Linked DNA regions of Callithrix jacchus. The protein of the gene in region 1 interacts with the protein of each later gene in a pairwise test. Links are inferred from orthologs where the notes say so. Each region holds a gene or a part of one and is shown in the gene's direction. Other genes may lie near its edges. The genes, in order: TK1, CRMP1 and UNC119.

What was found.
Region 2: the proteins of TK1 (region 1) and CRMP1 interact in a two-hybrid assay, tested with the Homo sapiens proteins (2 studies listed by BioGRID and IntAct). The link is inferred for Callithrix jacchus from reciprocal best matches to the Homo sapiens genes TK1 and CRMP1.
Region 3: the proteins of TK1 (region 1) and UNC119 interact in a two-hybrid assay, tested with the Homo sapiens proteins (2 studies listed by BioGRID and IntAct). The link is inferred for Callithrix jacchus from reciprocal best matches to the Homo sapiens genes TK1 and UNC119.

Annotation. Positions count from the first base shown.
Region 1 is NC_133506.1:133,957,706-133,964,554, reverse strand, and holds the end of TK1 (thymidine kinase, cytosolic), read left to right. Parts: intron 1-4,666; coding exon 4,667-4,756; intron 4,757-5,094; coding exon 5,095-5,214; intron 5,215-5,313; coding exon 5,314-5,505; 3' UTR 5,506-6,138; downstream 6,139-6,849. UniProt on the Homo sapiens protein: Cell-cycle-regulated enzyme of importance in nucleotide metabolism. Catalyzes the first enzymatic step in the salvage pathway converting thymidine into thymidine monophosphate.
Region 2 is NC_133504.1:186,030,639-186,037,487, reverse strand, and holds part of CRMP1 (dihydropyrimidinase-related protein 1), read left to right. Parts: intron 1-2,201; coding exon 2,202-2,381; intron 2,382-5,104; coding exon 5,105-5,270; intron 5,271-6,849.
Region 3 is NC_133506.1:105,062,324-105,069,080, forward strand, and holds the end of UNC119 (protein unc-119 homolog A), read left to right. Parts: intron 1-134; exon of another isoform or gene 135-196; coding exon of another isoform or gene 197-287; intron 288-1,867; exon of another isoform or gene 1,868-1,908; coding exon of another isoform or gene 1,909-1,939; intron 1,940-2,486; coding exon 2,487-2,600; intron 2,601-3,059; coding exon 3,060-3,162; intron 3,163-3,315; coding exon 3,316-3,488; intron 3,489-3,762; coding exon 3,763-3,875; 3' UTR 3,876-4,459; downstream 4,460-6,757. UniProt on the Homo sapiens protein: Involved in synaptic functions in photoreceptor cells, the signal transduction in immune cells as a Src family kinase activator, endosome recycling, the uptake of bacteria and endocytosis, protein trafficking in sensory neurons and as lipid-binding chaperone with specificity for a diverse subset of myristoylated proteins.

The DNA of each region.
Region 1 (6,849 bases):
CCTTGGCCTCCCAAATTGGTGGGATTACATCCTTGATCTTGTTGCTCTGAAAAGTAGTAGTGCTGGTTGTTGTGTTTTTGCTTAGGGGAAGGCCACCAACTGTCTAATGTTTGGTTACCTCTGGCCAGGCATTCTGTCTGTTCTCACTCAGCACAGTGTGTCCAGGGGAAGCTTTGTTTTCATTTATCCAGCTTTATAACTGGTATGCCTTGTCACTTCTGGGGAAGAAATGAAGCCGTTATCACTTCAGGTGTTTCTCTCCTTATCCCTCTCTGAGGTATTCTGGGTTCCATCTTCCAAAGTGTGTTTTGTTTCAATGACTTTATACCTGCTGCTCTAATTCAGAATCCTCCATTTTGTTTGACAAGTTACCGTGGGGTTATGTTTAAGTTTATGCTGTTCCTTCCATTGTGTTTCCAAAAATCTTTCCTTAGACTTTTCCAGATTTTTCTGTTTCCTCAGAACACATTCTCCGGTTGTTTCTGGGTTAGTTTCTGTTATCTTAGTTTTCCTTCCTCTACTTTGGAGTTTTTTAAAATTGTTGTTAGTTTATCACAAATGAATCAAACTGAAACTCACTTCCCAAGGGACTTAGCAGACTTAACCCCTTAGGTACTTTTAGGGCTGCCTCTAAGTGTACAGTGTGATGGTTTAATATAAACACAATAGGAATTTGTTTCTTGCTTACAGACCCCTACATGGTTCCAGCTGATGGGGAGGCTGCCCAGAGGTGGCTTAGTTCGCCCTTGCTGGCTGCATACAGAAGCGGAAGAGGAGAGACATGGCGGAGCCCCTGGGTGTGATGTTTTCATGGGCCAGGCTAGAAGTTGCAAATGTCACCTCTGCTGATCTTTCAAAGATTAGAATCTGGGCATAGGGCACAGGGTCACCTTTAGGTTTAGTCTAGTACACCTAGTCTAGTTTTTTTTTTTTTTTTGAAACAGTCTTGCTTTGTGGCCCAGGCTGGAGTGCAGTGGCACGATCTCAGCTCACTACAACCTCTGCCTCCCAGGTTCAAGTGATTCTCCCACCTCAGCCTCCCAAGTAGCTGGGATTACAGGCTCCTGCCACTACGCGCAGCTATTTTTTTGTATTTTTAGTAGAGATGGGGTTTTGCTGTTTGGGCAGCCTGGTCTTGAATTCCTGACCTCAGGTGATACGCTTGCCTTGGCCTCCCAAAGTGCTAGGATTATAGGCGGGAGCCACCGCGCCTGGCCACACTTAGTCTATTTTTATACCCTTGACTGTATACTTAGTCTAGTTCTATACCTGGAGGAAGAATAAATGGGTTTGTTTGCTGAGCGGTGGTTCAAGATCTCTACCCATCCTGCCTCCCAGCATAGAGCCAGGCTGCTCCGGCTGGAAAACCCTGTCCGAACATCCCAGGGACTGTCCCCCCAGCTGGGCAGTCCTGTGTTCCTGGTTCTGCTCTTGCCCAGCATTCTCTAAATGTCACAGCCCCAAATTTCATTCTCATGGGGAGGCTGACTGGTCCCTTACCCTGTGGAGTTGGACTCCAAGCTGTCGGTGTCCGCTGTGGGTTCCAGATCACCCAGTAGCTGACAACTGCTCCCCGCTTGGGTGTGCCCATTCCATTTCTGACCTTCAGAGGTGCGCTTCTGGGCACCCCCATACCTCTGCATCCACAGAGATGTTGTTGCCGCCGTGTGGTTGAGAGACTCCAGGCGAGAAGGTGGGCCCAGGCTGGGAACAGGGCTGCAATTTTTTTCTTTTGCTCCCAAACTGTGGCCTTGGAATGCATCCAGGGATTCTGCATCAGCTTTGGGGGCATGGCCCTCTCAGAACAAGGAAGAGCAAGGAAGCTTTAGCTTTGGCGAGGCTCTCCCTGCCTTCAGACCTGCCACTGTGAGTTGCTCAAGAGCTCTGCTCTGGCTCTGCATAAACCTTGTTGACAGATGCTGACCCAGACCCCCCCCAGGCAGAAACCTTTCCCTTCTCCTTCCTCCTTCCGTAACATCCAGGAGCCAGCATATTAAGTCCTGTCCCGTTCCAGCCTGAAGGAGAGATTTCTCAGTCTACTTCCTCCCTGGCCCACAAGTAAAACTTTAGTTCATTCAGGGAGTGCTTATTACACCCCATATCCAGACATCAGCCTTGTGCCATTCTGTGTGCCCTTGTTCCTTTCTAGAAGTTTAGCATCTTCCCACTGCAAGCATTTCTAGATGGAGGAGAGGGGTTCCTAGTATGGGGACCCACAGAAGGACTGTCCTTCCCTCCTTCATTGTCTACGTGGACAGTGGAAGAAGCCCAGCCTGACCTGCCTTGTTCCTGTTTTCTGGGTCAGCAGGGAAAGCCTTTCATAGAGTAGCCACCATGCCATCCTGAGGAAGGCCCTAGGTCAGAAGCTTCTGTGCTTCTTTGTATGCCGGGTGAGGCACAGTGGCGCTCACACTGCTTTGTAGAAATTGTTGGCATGCAAGAGAGAGTCATGTGGAGACCCCAAAGCCACTAGCTGGGCGTGCTGTGCTTCAGATGCTGGTGGTGGGTGAGCACCCTGGCCCCAGCACCTCCCCGATGCGTTCATCAACAGCTGTACAGTGTCTGGCGGGCCTGCAGGGTTGCTTGGCAATAGTGGAAGCTCTGATTTTTTTAAACTTTTTTTTCTGGCTGGGCACAGTGGCTCACACCTATAATCCTAGCGTTTTCGAAGGCCAAGGCGGGCGGATCACTTGAGGTCAGGAGTTTGAGACCGGCCAGGCCAACATAGTAAAATCCCGTCTCTACTGAAAATACAAAAATTAGCCGGATGTGGTGGCACACACCTATTATTCCAGCTACTTTGGAGGCTGAGGCAAAATCATCACTTGAACCCGGGAGGCAGAGGTTGTGGTGAGCCAAGATCATGCCACTGCACTCCAGCCTGGGTGACAGAGTGACTCTGTCTCAAAAACAAACAAACAAAAAAAACCAAAAAACGGTTTTTTGTGTTTTCTGTTCTACTAACACAAGTAATACAGGTTGAATGTTCCTTATCGTAAATGCCTGGGACCAGAAGTGTTTGGATTTCTGATTTTTTCAGATTTTGGAATATTTGCATATATATAATATAATGAGACCTTGGGAATGAGTCCCAACTGTAAATACAAGATCCGATATGTTTATAGATGCCTTATCCACATAGCCTGGGAGTGATTTTATATGCTATCTGGTAATTTGGGCATGAGCCAGGGTTTTGACTGTGAGCTGTCCCATAAGGTCAGGTGTGAAATTTTCCACTTGTGGTATGCACTCAAAAAGTTTCAGGTTTTGGAGCCTTTTGGATTAGAGACTTCGTAAGTTTAATCTGGAAAAACTTAAGAGTCTGGCACAGTGGCTCATGCCTGTTATGCCAGCACTCTGGGAGGCCGAGGCACGCAAATTGCTTGAGACTAGGAGTTTGAGACCAGCCTGGGCAATATGGTGAAACCCTGCCTCTACCAAAAATACAAAAATTAGCCAGGAGTAGTGGCACATACCTGTAGTCCCAGCTAGTTGGGAGGCTGAGGTGGGAGCATCGGCTGAGCCTGTAGGTCCAGGCTGTGAGTCATGGTTGAGCCACTGCCCTCCAGCCTGGGCAATGGGGAGCAAGACTGGGAGCTGCCTTTTTGTGACATGTGATGAATCCTCAGAGAAAAAGAGAGAACACGTGCATGGTGGGGCAGGGCCCAGCGTGCTGGAGTCTCTGGGTTTTCTTTCTAGAGGCCCCTGCAGTCTGCTGAGCGCAGTCGGTTACATCAGGCTTCACCTGGATCCCACTGGAATTTTTCCAGTTATCCCCTAGTCCTCGCCTTGCTAAGCCCTAATGTCTTAATAACCTCAAACCTCAGTACCTGGGCTGAGGAAAGCCTGAGGGGCTCCTGGAGAGAGACCTGTGCCCAAGGACAGGAACATCCCCACTTCAGCCAACCCAAAGGCCAGTCTGGACATGTGAACTCAACCAGCTAAAAGCAATATGACTGATTGATGAGAATCACCAAAGCACTTGCTAGAGTTTCAGCTTCTCCCTGGGCCAAAGTGAAATTTGATGTAGGCAGTAAATGTGCTCTGTGCCGGCCCTGTATTTAGAAGGCTGTGCTGTGTCATCCTGCTCTGTAAATGGCCAGGAGGACCCCCACACCTTCTCAAGGCACATTACCTGTCTAAAAAGGCGAGGGGGCAAGAGCACAAAATGCCCAGCTACTCACTGAAGTGCATGTGTATAACTTAGTGCCTTCTGTCCTTACACAATAGGACCTTTCTTGCTATCGCTCAGTGAAGAGGAAACAGGTTCAGAGAAGTTAACTCACTGCCAAGGTCACACAGATAATGGTGTCCGCTCGGAATAGCGGTGTCCGAGCCCCAGGCAGCAGATGTCTGGCCCCAGCCTTTGGCCGCTGCAGTGTTAAACAGCACAGCAGGTGTGGAAGTCTGATGCTGAGTCCTGGGTACCTGGACTCGGAGCAGAAGCTGGCTGCAGAGGGAAGAGGCTGGGCAGTTGTGGATGTGCCTGTCATCTGCTGGGAGGGCACCCATGGACAGTCCCCAGCCTGAGGAACCTCATGGAAGAGTTAGAGTTGCTCCAGGCTGAATGGCGGGAGTTGTCTGATCTGGCAGCGTCTCTGCTGGGACTTCAGGGAGCTGCTGCTAGGGTGGAAACTCTCACGCTTTCTCCACCTTCCCTTTCCAGTTCCCTGACATCGTGGAGTTCTGTGAGGCCATGGCCAACGCCGGGAAGACAGTAATTGTGGCTGCACTGGACGGGACCTTCCAGAGGAAGGTAAGGTGTCTGATCCAGGTCTGGAGCGTGATTCCAGGAGGGGAGGGGGCTTCTGGGTGGCCAGGGCCCAGCCACTGTAGGGGCACAGTTGAGCTGCTCAGACCAGTCCTTGCCTGAGCCTAGGGACTCCCTGGTCTATGCAGACCAGGTGCCATCTGTTGCGGCAGGTGGTTTGAATTGGCAAGGAGACAAAGCCAGGCATGGTGCTCTGGGGGTTGGGGGAGGACTGAGGTCAGAGCAAACTTTCCTGGCTTCAGTGCTTATGAATCAAAGGGTTTAAAAGAAAACCCCGCCTGGGAAGGTAGCCGAGCACCCACTGTCTTTCCATGGGAGTGCAGGCATTTGGGACCATCCTGAACCTGGTGCCGCTGGCCGAGAGCGTGGTGAAGCTGACCGCAGTATGCATGGAGTGCTTCCGGGAAGCCGCCTACACCAAGAGGCTTGGCACCGAAAAGGAGGTACCTCCACCTGTCTTCCCTGCGGGCTGGTGGGGTGGGGGCGTGGCTCTGTCTCCTTCCTGTCCCGGCCCTTCACCCATCCCCTGTCCCTGCGGCTAGGTCGAAGTGATTGGAGGAGCAGACAAGTATCACTCTGTGTGTCGCCTCTGCTACTTCAAGAAGGCCTCAGGCCAGCCTGCCGGGCTGGACAACAAAGAGAACTGCCCCGTGCCAGGAAAGCCAGGGGAGGCTGCGGCTGCCAGGAAGCTCTTTGCCCCGCAGCAGATTCTGCAATGTAGCTCCACCAACTGAGGGGCCTGAAAGGGCTGCTCACTCTCTTCCAGCCGCTGCCGCCTAGCGGACACTGCTCTCCACGCTACCTGCCTGCTCCAGGAGGGTGACCACATCTTGGCCTTTGGGAAGTCTCCTTTGTGCAGCTGCCCCACCTGCCACGTGCTCTCTCCTCTCCTGCCCACCGGCCTGCTTAGCTTCCCTCTTGGCTGCTGGGACGGTCGCCCAGGCTGGACCTGGCCCTGCCTGGTGACCTAGGATCTGGCATACTCCCCCTGCTTGGGGTGAGGGACAGCCACACACTGTTGACATCAGCCTGCTTCTTCCCCTCTGGCTTTCACTGCTGAGTTTCTGTTCTCCCTGGGAAGCCTGCACCAGCATCTTTAAGCCTTGGGCCATAGAGGCTTAGGCCCCTCTGCCTGGGATAGGCCCCTGCCCTCCCTGAGGATGGCCTGGACTCATGCCCTCTTGCTTCCTTTTGGGCTCAAAGCCCCTCCTACCTCTGGTGATGGTTTCCACAGGAACGACAGCATCTTTCACATGGGTGGCACCAGCCTTGCTGGGACTTGGATTGTAGGTGCTTGTCTCTTCGTGGGAAGAGGGCAGGGTCAACGTCTCTGCTGTAGTGTATGAAATTAACTAACTTAAAATTCACTGGTTGGTAGACGCTCATTTCTCTTTAAGCTGGGTTTCCCCGGGTCTCATGGACAGTGCCAACTGATGTGGGTGGGGATTTTCTTCCAGGTCTTTGTTTTGTTTTGAGATAGGTTCTCTGTCACCCAGGCTGGAGTACAGTGGTGCAGTCTCGGCTCACTGCAGCCTCTGCTTTCCCAGTTCAAGTGATTCTCCCCACTCAGCCTCCCTAGTAGGCAGGATTACACGTGTGTGCCACCACACCTGGTGAATTTCTGTATTTTCAGTAGAGACGGGGTTTCACCATGTTGACCAAGCTGGTCTTGAACTTCTGATCTCAAGTGATCTGCCTGTCTCAGCTTCCCAAAGTGCTGGTATTACAGGCGTGAGGCACCGGGCCTGGCCCCCAGATCTTTCTGTAGTAATACTGATCTCATAACCACAGCCGGTTAACTGAGAAATGATCGTGGGGCGTGTCCTAAGGGGAACATCATCTGCCTTCCTGTCTGGGCCAGTGTCAGGACAAAAATGGGTGCACAGGGGAGCCCAGGGCCCAGCTGGAAGGAAGGATGGGGGCGCATACCTGCCCGCTGGGACTTCCAGGTCAGTTTTTGTTTGTGAAACACACGCTGGGTAGTTCAGGAATCAAGACACCTCTCAGCTGTGCCTCAGAGATGGGCTGTTGGCAGCTCACTTGGACTCAGGCATTGCTGGGGTGAGGTGTGCCCTAGG
Region 2 (6,849 bases), on another chromosome or scaffold:
GATGTGATACCATCAGAAAATTCAGTTATTTAGCTAAGAAAGCAGAGTTCACAGATGGGAAATGTGAGAGCAGCCGAAATAGTTCTGAACAAGGGAAGTCTGGGGTGGAGGTGTCAGTCATCCCAGTTATTAAAACATGTTATAAAGCTTCAATAAATCAAACTGTTTGGTATGGGTACAAGAAAAGAGAGCCAAGGAATAGACTGATTGCATTTGAGAATTTGGTTTGCAATTCTTCCATAGGAGACATTTAGGATTAGGAAACAATAGCTACTCATGCAATTGTGTTAGAACACCTGGCTCATCAGGCTTAACCTCTGCCTTGCTGTTTACTACCAAATAAATCAAATCATGGATCAAAGATTAAGTAAAATAAAACTCTAAAAGGACTAGAATAAAACACACATTTTTAAAAATGGCTATTTTGGAGGGGAAAAGACTTTGCTAAGCAAAACACAAAACTTAGAAATGGTAAAGGAAAAGATTGGTCTGTTTGAACATCAACTACACAAAAACTATACAAAATAATCTGTGTGGCAAAAACAGTTAGTTCACGAGTTCCAGCGGCAGAGGACCAGGGAGGGAAGAAGTGTTTGCGGCACACGTAACAAAGGATAAATTCTTTAACAGTGAGTGTGTACTTTCAGAAATCAGAAGAACGCCAAGACCCTGAGAAATAGAACAATGTGCAAATACACAGTGACATGGTAAGAAACACAGAAATGGCACGTGTTGATTTAAAAAGACCCAATGTCAGTCACAAATGCAAATAGCAACCCAGAGATGCTGTTTTTCACTTGTGCCAGCAACTGAGATCAGGAGTTTAATATACATAGATACTGTTTACCAAAGTCTGTCAGGTAAGCTCACAGTTTTGTTGGGAGTGGGAACTAGCATTGCCTTTTTTGGAGGGCAAATCTATTAAAGGTGAAAATCCGTTTACTCTTTGGCGTCAAACTCCACATCTAGAAACGTGTTCGTGTGTGCAGATTGTGGGTGCAAAATCTGTTTCAGCATTGTTTTTAGCAGAGGCATGGCAAGGACCCAACTGTTTATCCTTGGGAACTGGCTGTGTAAGTGGTAGCACATCCTCCTGATGAAATACGGTATAAGAGTGTAAAACTATTTTGTGTGTGTGCTGATACAGAACAATTGCTGAGGTAAGGAAAAATCAAGGTGAGACATGTCTGTGTAGAGATGTGTATACGTGAGACAGTTATTCATACCTTGGACATACATAGAGATATAGAAGGAACTCTTCGAGACATATGTCTCAGACTCAAGTAGAAGACAGACTTCCGTTCTGTCAAATATCTTTTTTACCATTTGATTTTTTTTCAACTGTCTATATGACCTACTTTTAAAATAATAAATAAAAAGCAGTTGGACAGACAAGGTCAGGCATTCACTTTTTAAGAGTAATGGAAGAAATGTGTTTTTGTTTTTGTTTTGTTTTGTTTTTTTGAGACAGAGTCTCGCTCTGTCCCCCAGGCTGGAGTGCAGTGGCGCAGTCTCAGCTCACTGCAACCTCCACCTCCCAGGTTCAAGCAATTCTCATGCCTCAGCCTCCTGAGTAGCTGGGATTACAGGTATGAGCCACTGTACCCGGCCAAATGTGTGTTTTAAAGGAAATGTTATTTTGTCTTTCAAATTAGCTGAGAAAGAAAAAAATGGCACTCCCCAGTGCTGGAGGGGGTGACCCTGAAATGTCTCTCCCTCATGGCTGGTACAGTGTCAGCTGGTCTGATCCCTTGGGAAAAGAGTTTGGCCATGTGCAACACATGCTTTAAAACAGCGCATATTCTTTCACCCAGTAATTTGATTTTAGAAAACTATCTTAGAGAAAAACTATTTAAAGAAGTATTTTAAATAAAGAACATTTTATTTATCTTTGCGTCTAGTATAGTCAAAGCAACCACATTGCCTAAGCCCACGGGGACCCCTTTGTGTTGGCGATGCCCCAGGACTGTATTGATTTGATTATAGAAAGCCCCCAGCAGCCCACCTGCCCAGCGGGGAGTTCTTGGTTATAGATATTCTGGGCCATTGGAGTATTATACAGTCAGTAAAAGGTGTTTTGAGAGAGAGAGAAAAAAACATTGGAACATGCTTGTGATATAATGTTAGGCAAAATCGCTGTTGCAAACAGCGGGTTTTGAGCAGAGCAAGCCAGGGAAGTAACGCTGAGGCTGTTGGTGCAGGCGGTGGAGTACAATATCTTCGAGGGCATGGAGTGCCACGGCTCCCCGCTAGTGGTCATCAGCCAGGGCAAGATTGTGTTTGAAGATGGAAACATCAACGTCAACAAGGGCATGGGCCGCTTCATCCCGCGGAAGCCGTTTCCAGAGCACCTCTACCAGCGCGTCAAAATCAGGAATAAGGTGAGTGTGTCCTCAGAGGACGGGCCCACCATGGGACCAGAACCGACAGCTTCTCTTGGGGAATCGAGGTCTGACGTGTGCGGAGTTAATAATGCCAGAGCCCTGGGAACCTCCCTTTCCTTCTCTGTTAAATGGGTTGGGACGCTGCCCTGGGCTCCTGTCTGAGGACAGGAGTGAGCATCGAATGAGGACATGCAAGTTCCAGGGTTTTGCAACTGTGGAGGGGCGTGCACCCATGAAGGTGGGTGGGTCGGTCACAGGAGGGACGCTTACCGAGCTGCCCTGGGCAATGTCCTGTGTCATCTTAAGGAATCCTGCACACTCACTGGAGCTGCTGTGATCCTGCTTTTGCAGCCCAGAGCTGTGAAGGGCTTAGCCAGAGTCACAGCCCAGAACCCCTCGGGCCTGGCCCTTTGGAGAGAGGCATTACCCCAGCCTCCTGCAGGTCGGGCTCCTTTCAGATCCACCCTTTCTTCCTGTCCCTCTTCCCTTGGTGGTTCTGCCCTGTTGTTCCTTGTTTTCCTTGAACCGCCTTAAGCACTGATCCCAGGACATCTGTCAAAAGCAAGGGGCAGGCTCTATTCCTAACAGAGCAACTGGAGGGGATAACTTCCTCAGCTGGGACAGACTGCCGCGCGTGGCCAGCATCTTCCCTCCCCAGGCCCTCCCACCCCTATGGCAGCTGCTTTCCCCATGAGACAGCTGATGTTTGCCAGAAAGGCCAGCTGCATGTGTGTGTGTGTGCACGCACGTGTGCATATGTGTGTGTGTCTGTGTGTTATGTGTGCATGTGTACATGCATGCACGTGTGTGCATGCATATGGGGATGTGTGTGCATGTTGGAGTGTGTGTATGTGTCTGTGAGCATGTGTTGAGCTGTGTTTGTGTGTGCACGCGATATGTGAGCATGTGTGTACATGCGTGGTCCTGCTCTTGGTGTGCTGAATAAGTGGCACCAATTGAGATGGAAAAGTCCAGAGGGCTCCCTGCTTTCCCAGGCTCCAACCCCAACTGGGAGGCTCTGCCAGCTCCCGTAAGGTGTAGCATGCAGGTCAAAGACACCAAATCGCACCAGACGAGGAAACAAGCATTGGGGCAGAAACAAGTCAGATCTGAGACGTGGCCAGGCATAGGCAGCAGACCACTTGAGGACAGGAGACTCATGGGAATCCCCGGCTGGGACACCCACGGAAGAGGCAGAAACACCCCTCGGCTGGCTTCGTTTCCTTCTTGGTCTGAACCCAAGGCCTGTGGTTAACAGTCAGCTTCCGTGATAGCAGATGTCTGACCCCAAATGCCAAGACAGCAGTCTGCTGGAGCACTGGGACCGGGGGTCTCACTGCACAGGGATTCCTTCCTTAGCCTGCAGGAGCTAGGCCGGTTGAGGGAAGAGACCTGCACCAGAGCCTGCCTCTGGCCACCTGAGTTTCAGGGAGTGATGAAGGGCCTTATCCAGGAGGCAGTGCAGCAGCCACAGAGGACAGTGGGCAGAGGCCAGGGAGTTGAGGAGCAGGGATCCAGGGAGAGGGGAGGGCCATCGACATGATGTGTAGGTGCTGGGTCTTTCAGCTTGGTGCTAAACTTGAGGCTTTCTCCTATGGAGAGGCAGAACTGGGGGTCAGGGTGCTGTCACCTGCTGCAGAGGAGGGAGCTGGGGCTGGGGTCAGGGCACTGTCACCTGCTGGAGAGGACGAAGCCCCATGTACGGGTAGAGCGCTGCCACTGACCCATGCTGGGACCCTGTGCAGGTCCCTGGACATGGGCTGTCCTCCATTGCCTGGAGCAGATGCCCTTCACCCTTGGCCATCCCTAGGGCACCAGGGCTGCTGTCGGCAGTTCCCAGCAGGCTGATATCCTCCTGCCTGGAAGGAGGACCCTGCTGCTTTCAGGGTCTCTGCCCCACCACCCTTCCCAGTAGGGCTGGGGCTGTGGCTCTGTTGCCCTCCTTCCCCATCCTTCTGCAGGCCAGTGCAGAGGCGTGCTCTCCACCCAGCATCCCCAGCCCTGTGGCCCACAGACCTGGCCCACTCCTGGTGCCTGTCTATACTGTTTTCTCCCTCCCTGTCTCACCTCCCCACTCCTGCCCCCTTTCTGCAACCATTTCCCAACAAACTACCTGCCCCCGGAATCTTTGCCTCACCATTGACTTCTGCAAGAACGTACATGAAGATGTGCCCTTTGCTGCTGCCTGTCTGGGATTCAGGGGTCCTTCCCAGGGGCAGGGGTAGGTGGCAGTGTCTGGGAAAGTGATTTATTCTTGGAAGGGATCTGGGGTTCTTCCGCATGATGCTTTGTACATACGTGTATGAGTGTGGATGTAAGTGTATATACGGGTGTGTATATGTGTGTGTGTGGGCACATATGCTTGTGTATACATATGTGAGTATATGCCTTTGAGTGTGAATATCTGAATGTGTTTAAGTGTGTGTATGCATGTTCATATGTGTATACTACTGTATAGGCATGTTTTGTTATTGTGCATGTGTGCATGTGTGTGGGTGCATGTTTGTGTACATGTATGTGATGTGTGTGTCTATGCATGCTTATGTGTATGAATGCCTGTGTGAGTGTGGGTGCATATGTGTGTTGTGTGTGTGCATGCACATTCGAAGTGATCTCAGGTTTCTCTCTTGCCCACAGGGCTCTGCTTTGTCTGCCCAGAATGGCACATGCACACAGTGTCGATCAATCACACTCAATCACACTCTCCCTTCCTCTGTCAGGTTTTTGGATTGCAAGGGGTTTCCAGGGGCATGTATGATGGTCCTGTGTACGAGGTGCCAGCTACACCCAAATATGCAACTCCCGCTCCTTCAGCCAAATCTTCGCCTTCCAAACACCAGCCCCCACCTATCAGAAACCTCCACCAGTCCAACTTCAGCTTATCAGGTAGGAAGCAGTGGCGGCCCAGGCTTCCCACCCCTGCAGCAGTTCAGCCCCAGCCCTTCCTGCTGCTTCTGAGGAAATGGACACGTGGCGTTGGACACTTGATGAAGAAGCAGGGAAGGGAGTGTGTCACACCTTCACCCAGAGCCTGTTCTCACTGGTGGGACAGAGTGGGCTGGCATGGTCACCAAGCAGAGGGGGGTCCACGTTCAAGAGGCAACATGGTGGTATCTGACCTGGGTTTACAAAGAGTGGCACCAGCACTGGCGCAGGGCTCATCCGTACACACACTTGGGGACACTTTCCCACGCTTCCTTGTGAAGATAGACGGTGTGATGGGGATGAACAGGCGATGAGAGTAGCTGCCATTGGCAGGGCACCTGTCCTCAGCCTGTGTGCCCACTTCAAGCACTTTCACAGCCCGTGATTTTATTTTAGCCTCACTACTCCACAGAGTGATGTTATACCTATTCATTTAAAGAGGAAACTGAAGTTCCAAGAGATCCAGTGTCAAATTGCCAGGACTTGGTGCTCAACAAATGTGCGGGAACCAAATTAGATATTGACTTGATCGCTCCTTTAAGGCCCCAGGGCGGCGTGTCTGCGATTTCGTCAGATGGCCACATGAGGGCAGGCACGCACACGTTGAGAAAGTCGAATTGGTAATTTGTCCTGCAAACGCTTAGAGGCATTGCCTGGGTTCCACGCCGCACTAGGCACTACGAATATGGTGATGTTTTTCTTTCTTAAAGGGCCAGCTAGTAAATACTTTAGACTTTTTGAGCTAAAAGGTAACGCCTAGGATGTTATATTCAATGGTGATTTGAAAATGTACAAACTGTTCTCAGGTCACAGACTACAAAAACGCGACGGGCTGGATTCGGTCAATGGAGCAGTTGGCTGACTCCTGGTCAGGAAAGCTGATAGGCTTAGCACAAGAGAGAGTGGAAGGGGCAAAGCGAGAGAGAGTTGGTGAAGCATGGATTTAGATTGTGTGGTGGGAGAGCCTCTTACCCATTCAGGAAGTGTCTGACTCAGTGGTTGTGCAGAGAGTCAGAATCGGGGAGGCCTCCCTATCCGTCTCAGTCTCAGTAAGACTTTCATGGAAGAGCTTCCAGTGTTTAATATTGTTGCACAAAATAGACCCTAAATAGAACTCTGATATTCATGTGAGGCTCAATGAGCAAAACAGGGATTGGCTTCAATATTGGGAAAAGCTGTCTGGGTATATAATAAGATGCAAGCTTTCGAGGAGTTTACAAACTGGACCTCTGTCCTGGAGTTACACAGTTAAGCATTGCACAGTTGCAATTAAACATGGACAGAAAAGCCTCCTCCCCATTATTCTTAGAGCAAGAATAACAATGAAGTCCAAAGCCTCCTGCAAGGGCCCCTCCCCACCCTTGTTCTCCCAGTTTCACTGTGAGTCCTCCTGAAGCCCGCAGCACCGCTGCTGTCTGCCTGCTCGTGGCAGGTTGCTAGGTGAGTTCATTTGCTACCAACAGCACAGATGCTTTCCAGTACCAGTAACCTCACAGATGCCCTTTTAAATATCTGCGTATATGTTACATTATAGAGCCGT
Region 3 (6,757 bases), about 29 Mb from region 1:
AGCAGCAGAGCCCCAGGGCTCCCAGACATAGCTGTGGAGGGGAGGCAGCCTTGAGCTGGTGCTCCTGAGTCGCTGGGGGGCCAACTCCTCCCTCCTTTCTGAGCTGGACAGCAGGCATTCTTGGCTGGGCCCCCAGAGTGCTGAGCTCCCTTACCCAAGCAGGCATCAATGGAGGGAGGAGGCCTGGATCAGGCTGATGTTGAAGCCAGTTGGGCTACAATCTGCAGCAGCAGCGTTTAGGATTCAGCTTAGCTCTGGGGCAGAACTTTCTCAGAGGCAGTCCAGAGGTGAGACTGACTGAGTCCTGAGTAACTTTGGGGGTTTATGTTGCAACTAGAGGGAGCTTCCAGCTCATGTACTGCCATTTGTCTCCTACTTTGGAGGAAATTCTTAGCCCTTAGAGATTGGGCATCTGTGGAGGGTAAGTCGGGGGAAGGGCTTTATGGGAACCCCTTCCTGTACAGGAGTTGAGAACCGAGTTCCAGGGCTTTCCACCCTGGCACCCCTTGCCTGGTCTCTTCTGACCCTAATCACACAGGTCTGAGGTTTGCTGTTCCCAGATTACTGGGCCCTGAATCCAGCTTAGGAAGCTATTTATGGTTGGGAGGAATAGAGCAGTTGTGGTCTGAGCCCTTGGCCACTCTGCCCCTATTTTGACCTGACCCTGGGTCCCAGGCCTCATCCTTTCTAGAAGGGAAGGAATGGTCATGGTGTTCTGAGCTATGGACATCCCTGTTCTTCACTTCCTCTAAGGACAGACAGGCTGATAGATTGAGTTTTCAGTAGAAGGCACTGAGATCAGACTGCAGGAAGTTGTTGCTAATTGAGAGAGGCTCCGAAAGTGAAGAATGGGAGGCAAAAAGGCCTTATGGATCTGAGAGCTGGGCACTAGGATCCTGCTCCCCACTCTGCCACCTCCGTTCCCTATGCTCTGTACATTCTCTGTGTCTTTATACTGGCGCTTACTTTCTGTGAACATAGGGTGAACAAGGTGAGGTAGGGGTGGCCCACTTCCATTCTCCCCCCACCCCACCCATGGGCTGTAGTAGACTCAGGGCCCTGCCTCTTCCCCAAGCTGTATAAAGTCTATACTGGGCCCCGGGGTAACAGATAACTGCCAGAAGGGCTTCCTGGAGGAGACTATCAGGCTTGGGGAAGAAGTGGGCCTGGGGAAGAGAAAATGACTTTATATTCACTTCGTCTTCCTGCCCCAGAGGACTAGGAGGTGGCCCAGGGGCCTGGAGGGTGATTTCTGGGCCTCGATAGGCCACCAGGGGAGGATGTGATGCTGCGCAGGCTGACAGCACCAGAGCCCCTCCCCGCACCTCTCAGCTCTCTTTGTTGCCAGGGCCTCCCTGAGCACTTGAAGTCGCTGCTGCAAGAGCTGCGAGGGTTAGATAAGGCCCTGGAGGTCCCCGAGCTTCCTCAGACAGGGCCTCCCACTGTTCTTGGTTCCCCTTCTGGGCCTGAGGACTCCCCTTACCCCTTCCACAACTGCTGCTGCACCTGCCATACCCTCTTCCTGGCCTAGCCTGTGTTCTTCTCTATGGGGGTCGGGGGCTACTTTCTCTTCTCTATGGGGGTCGGGGCGGGGGGAGGTGGCTCAGAGCCAGGGCTGTGTAAATGACCTCTAAGGGGGTTCCCTCTGCTTGCTAAGACTTCCTCCCATTTGGAGATCAACAAAGGATGAGAGTGAAGTTGGCCTCCTCCCCTGCCATATCCCAGGCTCTGGGCTTGAGTCAGCAGAGCTTTGGTTAAGCTGCTTAAGGGAGCTGGGCTGGTGTAAGCCTCTTACTGAGAGGAGGGGGTTGGGAGGGGAGGAGGAACAGGGAAGGGTTGTTCACCTGCCCCAGCACCACCCATGTCAGGAAAAGTCCCCTCAACATCAGCCTCACCTGACACATCTAGATGTCATGCCAGGGGCAACCGTGGGGCAAGGGTAGGGGTATCCTCCAGAGAAGGACTGTGACTCTACCAGGCAGAGCTGTGTGGTCCCCTTTACAGTGTGGTTCTCAAAGGCAACAGAGAGGTTGAGAGATTGAGTTTGCAGTAGAAGAGGCAGGTCAGACTGCAGGAAGTTGTTCCCAAATGAGAGGAGAGGCTCCCACCAGGCTGGAGATCCAGTTCTCCCAAAGTCACCTAGCCAGCCTTAGCAGAGCAGAGGCCAGAATGAGGACCATCAACTCCAGGGCGGGAGGGAGAGTGTCCTGGAGGTGGCCTTGTCCTCCATCTTTCTCTGCCCTGCCCTTCATTGGCCCCAGAGGCCACTGGGATGGCTCTCCTTATTTCCTGTTAGATCCCCATGGCTGAGTGATGTCTCTTCCACACTGGGGGTGTACCCCTATGGCAGGGGCTCAGGTTCCTCTTTCCAGAGGGCAGTGATCCCAGGGATGAGAAGATGGTAGCTACTCTGGGGTCCCACACAAGCTGACCTGGCAGCAGGGGCTTTGGGGCCCCCTCTTTGCTCAGCTGCCTGTCTCCCCTAGACTACCTCTGCTCCCCTGAGGAGAATATCTACAAGATCGACTTCGTCAGGTTTAAGATTCGGGACATGGACTCAGGCACTGTCCTCTTTGAAATCAAGAAGCCCCCAGCTTCAGGTGAGTGGGCTGGGTGAGCCATTGACAGGCACGAGCTGTGGACTGGGCTGCCAGGGACTCCTTGGGCCACAGAGGAGTCCACAGAGCTGGGGCTTGGACCCCAGCATTCTCAGGAGTCTGCAGGCAGAGGGGGCCCCTTCTTTTCCTTCCCATTTGTTTTTGAGGCTGGACATCTTCCGAAGTCAGCCCTGTCCCTTCGGTCCCTGGCAGCCTGACCTCTACAGGCCTCTCTGGGAACTGCAGTCCTATGGGTCCTGGGAACCACAGTGGCAATTGGGAACCTGCAGACCTAGAACCCCTAGGTGGCGCTATTCGGCCAATGGTCTGACCCCTCAGTGTGCCCCAGAATTTCTTGGGGAGTTATAAAAAATTCAGACAGATGGGGGCCTGAGGGTAGAACCCTGGGTGGACAAGGGCCCAGCCTGAAGCCCACTGAGCCCCAGCGGGGGTACATTGCAGAGCGGTTGCCCATCAGCCGGCGGGACCTGGACCCCAATGCTGGGCGCTTTGTCCGCTACCAGTTCACACCTGCCTTCCTCCGTCTGAGGCAGGTGGGAGCCACGTGAGTCACTGGGCAGGAGGTGGGGTCAAGGGGGTGAGGGAGAGGGTGGGAGTGGGCCCTTCTCAGCCTCTCCTAGGGGTGGCCTGTCCTGAGCCTGTCTGGCTGGCTGACTTCAAGGACAGACTCAACCTTGCCTCCTTTTCTTGTGCTCAGGGTGGAGTTCACCGTGGGAGACAAGCCTGTCAACAACTTCCGAATGATCGAGAGGCACTACTTCCGCAACCAGCTACTCAAAAGCTTTGACTTCCACTTTGGCTTCTGCATCCCCAGCAGCAAGAACACCTGCGAACACATCTATGACTTCCCCCCTCTCTCCGAGGAGCTGAGTGCGTGGGCAGGGCCTTCTGCGAGTGGGGATGTGGGGGATGTGGGGGGGGTGTGTAGAGACTGAGCTATGGGAGGGAGGGGGACTTCTGGGTCTGACCCCATTTTTCCCCACCCTGGGGCTCTGTGTCTGGCACCAGTCTCATATCATCTGTAGAGAAAGAGGCTGGCGATATCTCAAGTTGTTGCCATCCTTGAACCCCAGTCCTAAAGCCCCTGCAGTGGTCGGAATCAGGCTCCTGACCTTTGCCCGGCCTGGCTGGGCCTCTCTTGCAGTCAGCGAGATGATCCGCCACCCATATGAGACCCAGTCTGACAGCTTCTACTTCGTGGATGACCGGCTGGTGATGCACAACAAAGCAGACTATTCCTATAGCGGGACACCCTGACCCCACGGCTGGCCCCACCCCAGGAAGCTCCGGTTCTGGGCCCGGAGCTGTGACCTCCCCAACGCTCACCCCTCAACCCCAAGTCCTCTGCTTGGGAAGTGCTCCAGGAGACCTGGACCCTGAGTCAGTGTTGGGAGGAAGGGTACCTGGTGTCCCAGTCAAGCCCGTGAAGCCCATGGGGCCTGCTGCGTGGGGTGGGGTCGTAGGGAGGCTGTTTGCCTCCATGTCTAGGAAGGCCTATGAGAGGAGCAATCAGGACTTCCAGACAACTTAGCTCAGCCCTCCTTGGGCCCAGTTTCAGAATAGTGTTCCCCTATCAAGGCTGTGACTAGGTCAGGCAGGGATCCATGCCCTGTCCCTTGCCCACTACCTTCAGGCCACTTAGAGTTGTACTTTACAAAGATCACGGTGGGCTCCAGCTGCCAAGCCACCCAACGGAGTCTGGGCCCTAGGCCCAGCCCCATTCCTCCCATGAGGGGCCAGGACACTGCCTGAGGTGTAGGCGGGACTGGCTGAGATTGCAGCCCATGGTAGGAGCTGGACCAGCTGTATATAGTTTTCAATAAACTGTCTCCTTTTCTGTTCTCAGGTGTGGCCAGCCTCTATGTGATGGGCAAAGAAGGGAGGGGGGATAGGCAGGAATGTGCTTAAGGTAGTAAAAAATTTCTCCTGCCTCCCACGCTCCAGTGCACTCTAACCCCTTGGTCTTCCTGACCTCTGATTCTCTGTGCTCTGACACCACCTAGAGTCAGCATTTAGAACAGGATGGAACTGGAGAGGGTCTTTCTTGTGATGAAGGAGACCCAGATCCTGAGAGGGGAAGCTTTGGCCCAAAGTCAGAGTCAACCCTGGCAGAACAGAGGCTGAAACAAAGGCCCTGAATTCCCGGGTGGGAGGGAAGGTGTGGAGGAGGTAGCCCTGTCCTCCACGCTACCTTCCCTGAACCCCAGAGGCCACTAGGACCATTGGGTTGTGCTTTTAGCCCTTATCACAGAAGGTGGCAGGGCTTTGGCTAAGGCCTGGAGCCATCTCCTTGTCCTCAGCTGCCTTGGGGAGCCCCCATGCCGGGGCAGCCCTGCACATAACACTGCTCTCAGCCTCCACCCCCTCCCCAGATTCAGAGGAGGAGGCTCCTTAATGGAGGAAATTCAGGAACTGAGGTGGGCAGAGAACACACCCTATACCCTACAGTTCCAGGCCCTCCAGATATGCCTGGAGCTGACCTACCCTCTGGGCTGAGGAGCTGTGGCCCCAGGAGGCCCAGAAGTGCTGGAGTTCCGCTTGATTCTGTGAAGCTCTTGCTGGGAGCAGGCAGTGGGGCTAGGATCTGCACTGAATTCTGGGAATTCTGAAAAAAAAAAAAAAAAAAAAAAGACTGGGTACATGGAGAGCAACAGAGTTGTTCTGTGTGGAGGGTTCTGGAGAGGAGTTTTAGAGGAGGCAGCACTGGAGCAGGTGCTTGTGATGGGAAGAGTTGGAAAGAGTGCTTAGGCACAGGGAACAGCCTAAGCTAAGGTTCAGAGGCAAGATTTATCAGGTGTATTTATTTATTTATTTATTTGAGAGGGTCTCCCTATGTTGCCCAGGGTGGTCTCGAACTCCTGGGTTCAAGGAATCCTCCTGCTTTGGGCCTCCCAAAGTGCTAGGATTATGGGTGTGAGCTTAGGTGTGTTCAAGAGTGAATGTAATGTGAAAGGAAGACACATCTGCAGAGCCTCAGGAGCGGGGCTTCTGAGAGGTGGGAAACCCCTGAGGAGGATTAAGTGGGCATGACCTGGTCAGATTATCTTTGGCTGCTGAGTGAAGGGCAGATTGGAAAGAATGAGACGAATAATAGCCAAGATTTACTGAGTGCCAGGCCCGGGGCTGGGTGCTCTACATGTGTTGACTCATAAAACATGGTCATTTCTGAGGAAGCCACCATTATGCCCATTTTACAGAAGATGTAGGCCCAGAGAGGTTAATGTGCCTAGCCAATATTGCACAGCTACGAAGTGGCAGAGCCAGTATTTGAATCCAGGCAGTCTGGCTCCATGCGCGACCATACTAAGGGCAGGGGGCAGTGAGGATGAGGAGGGTACTGCAGGAATCTGGTGAGAGAGAGAGAACCTGAATTAGATCAGTGTCCTCAGAGATGGAGAGAAACAGATGAAATTGGTATTTTTAAGAGGTGATATCCCAAGGACTGGTGGCTGATGGGATGAGTGGGTTGGAGAGAGGGAGGAGGCGAGGCTGATTGCCTGCTTTGTGGCCTGGGTGCTAGAGCGGCTGGGGTGCCATCACTGGGCTGGAGAATGCAGGTTGGATCAGGGAGATGCCAGTGGGAGATGATGACCTCAGATTGAGACATGCTGGGGCATGGAGGAAATGACCAGAAGACAGGAAAGACAGGTCCTGAGACCAGGAGGGGAATAAGGGCTGGAGGTGGTGATTGTCGAGGCCATTGACCACAAGGTGATTGCTGAAGCTGTGATGGTGGCTGAGATCATGGGGTCCTCCACGGACACTGTTGTTATTTAGTGAGCAGGGGACAGGAATGCCAAATGTCCTGCAATTACCGGGACTCTCCCAAACAATGTTTTTACAAGAAGAATCCCCATCCCCCAGTTGAGGGTCCCTGAATGAGAATGTATCACCTTAGGGAAGGCCAGTATTTGAGAGCAGGGCAGAAGGAAAGGAACCAGTGGAGATAGGAGTGAGCCCATGTTTTGGAGGAAAGAATTCATCACAAAGCAAGTGGGCAGGAACCATCAGCTGCCACAAAGGTAAAGAAGGAGAACATGGATAAGAATATGGAGGGGAGGGATTTGTTTGCAGATGAGGCTGTATGGTACAGAAGTACACTATAGGGCTGGTTTTGCTGTTGTAATTTATGGGGTCAC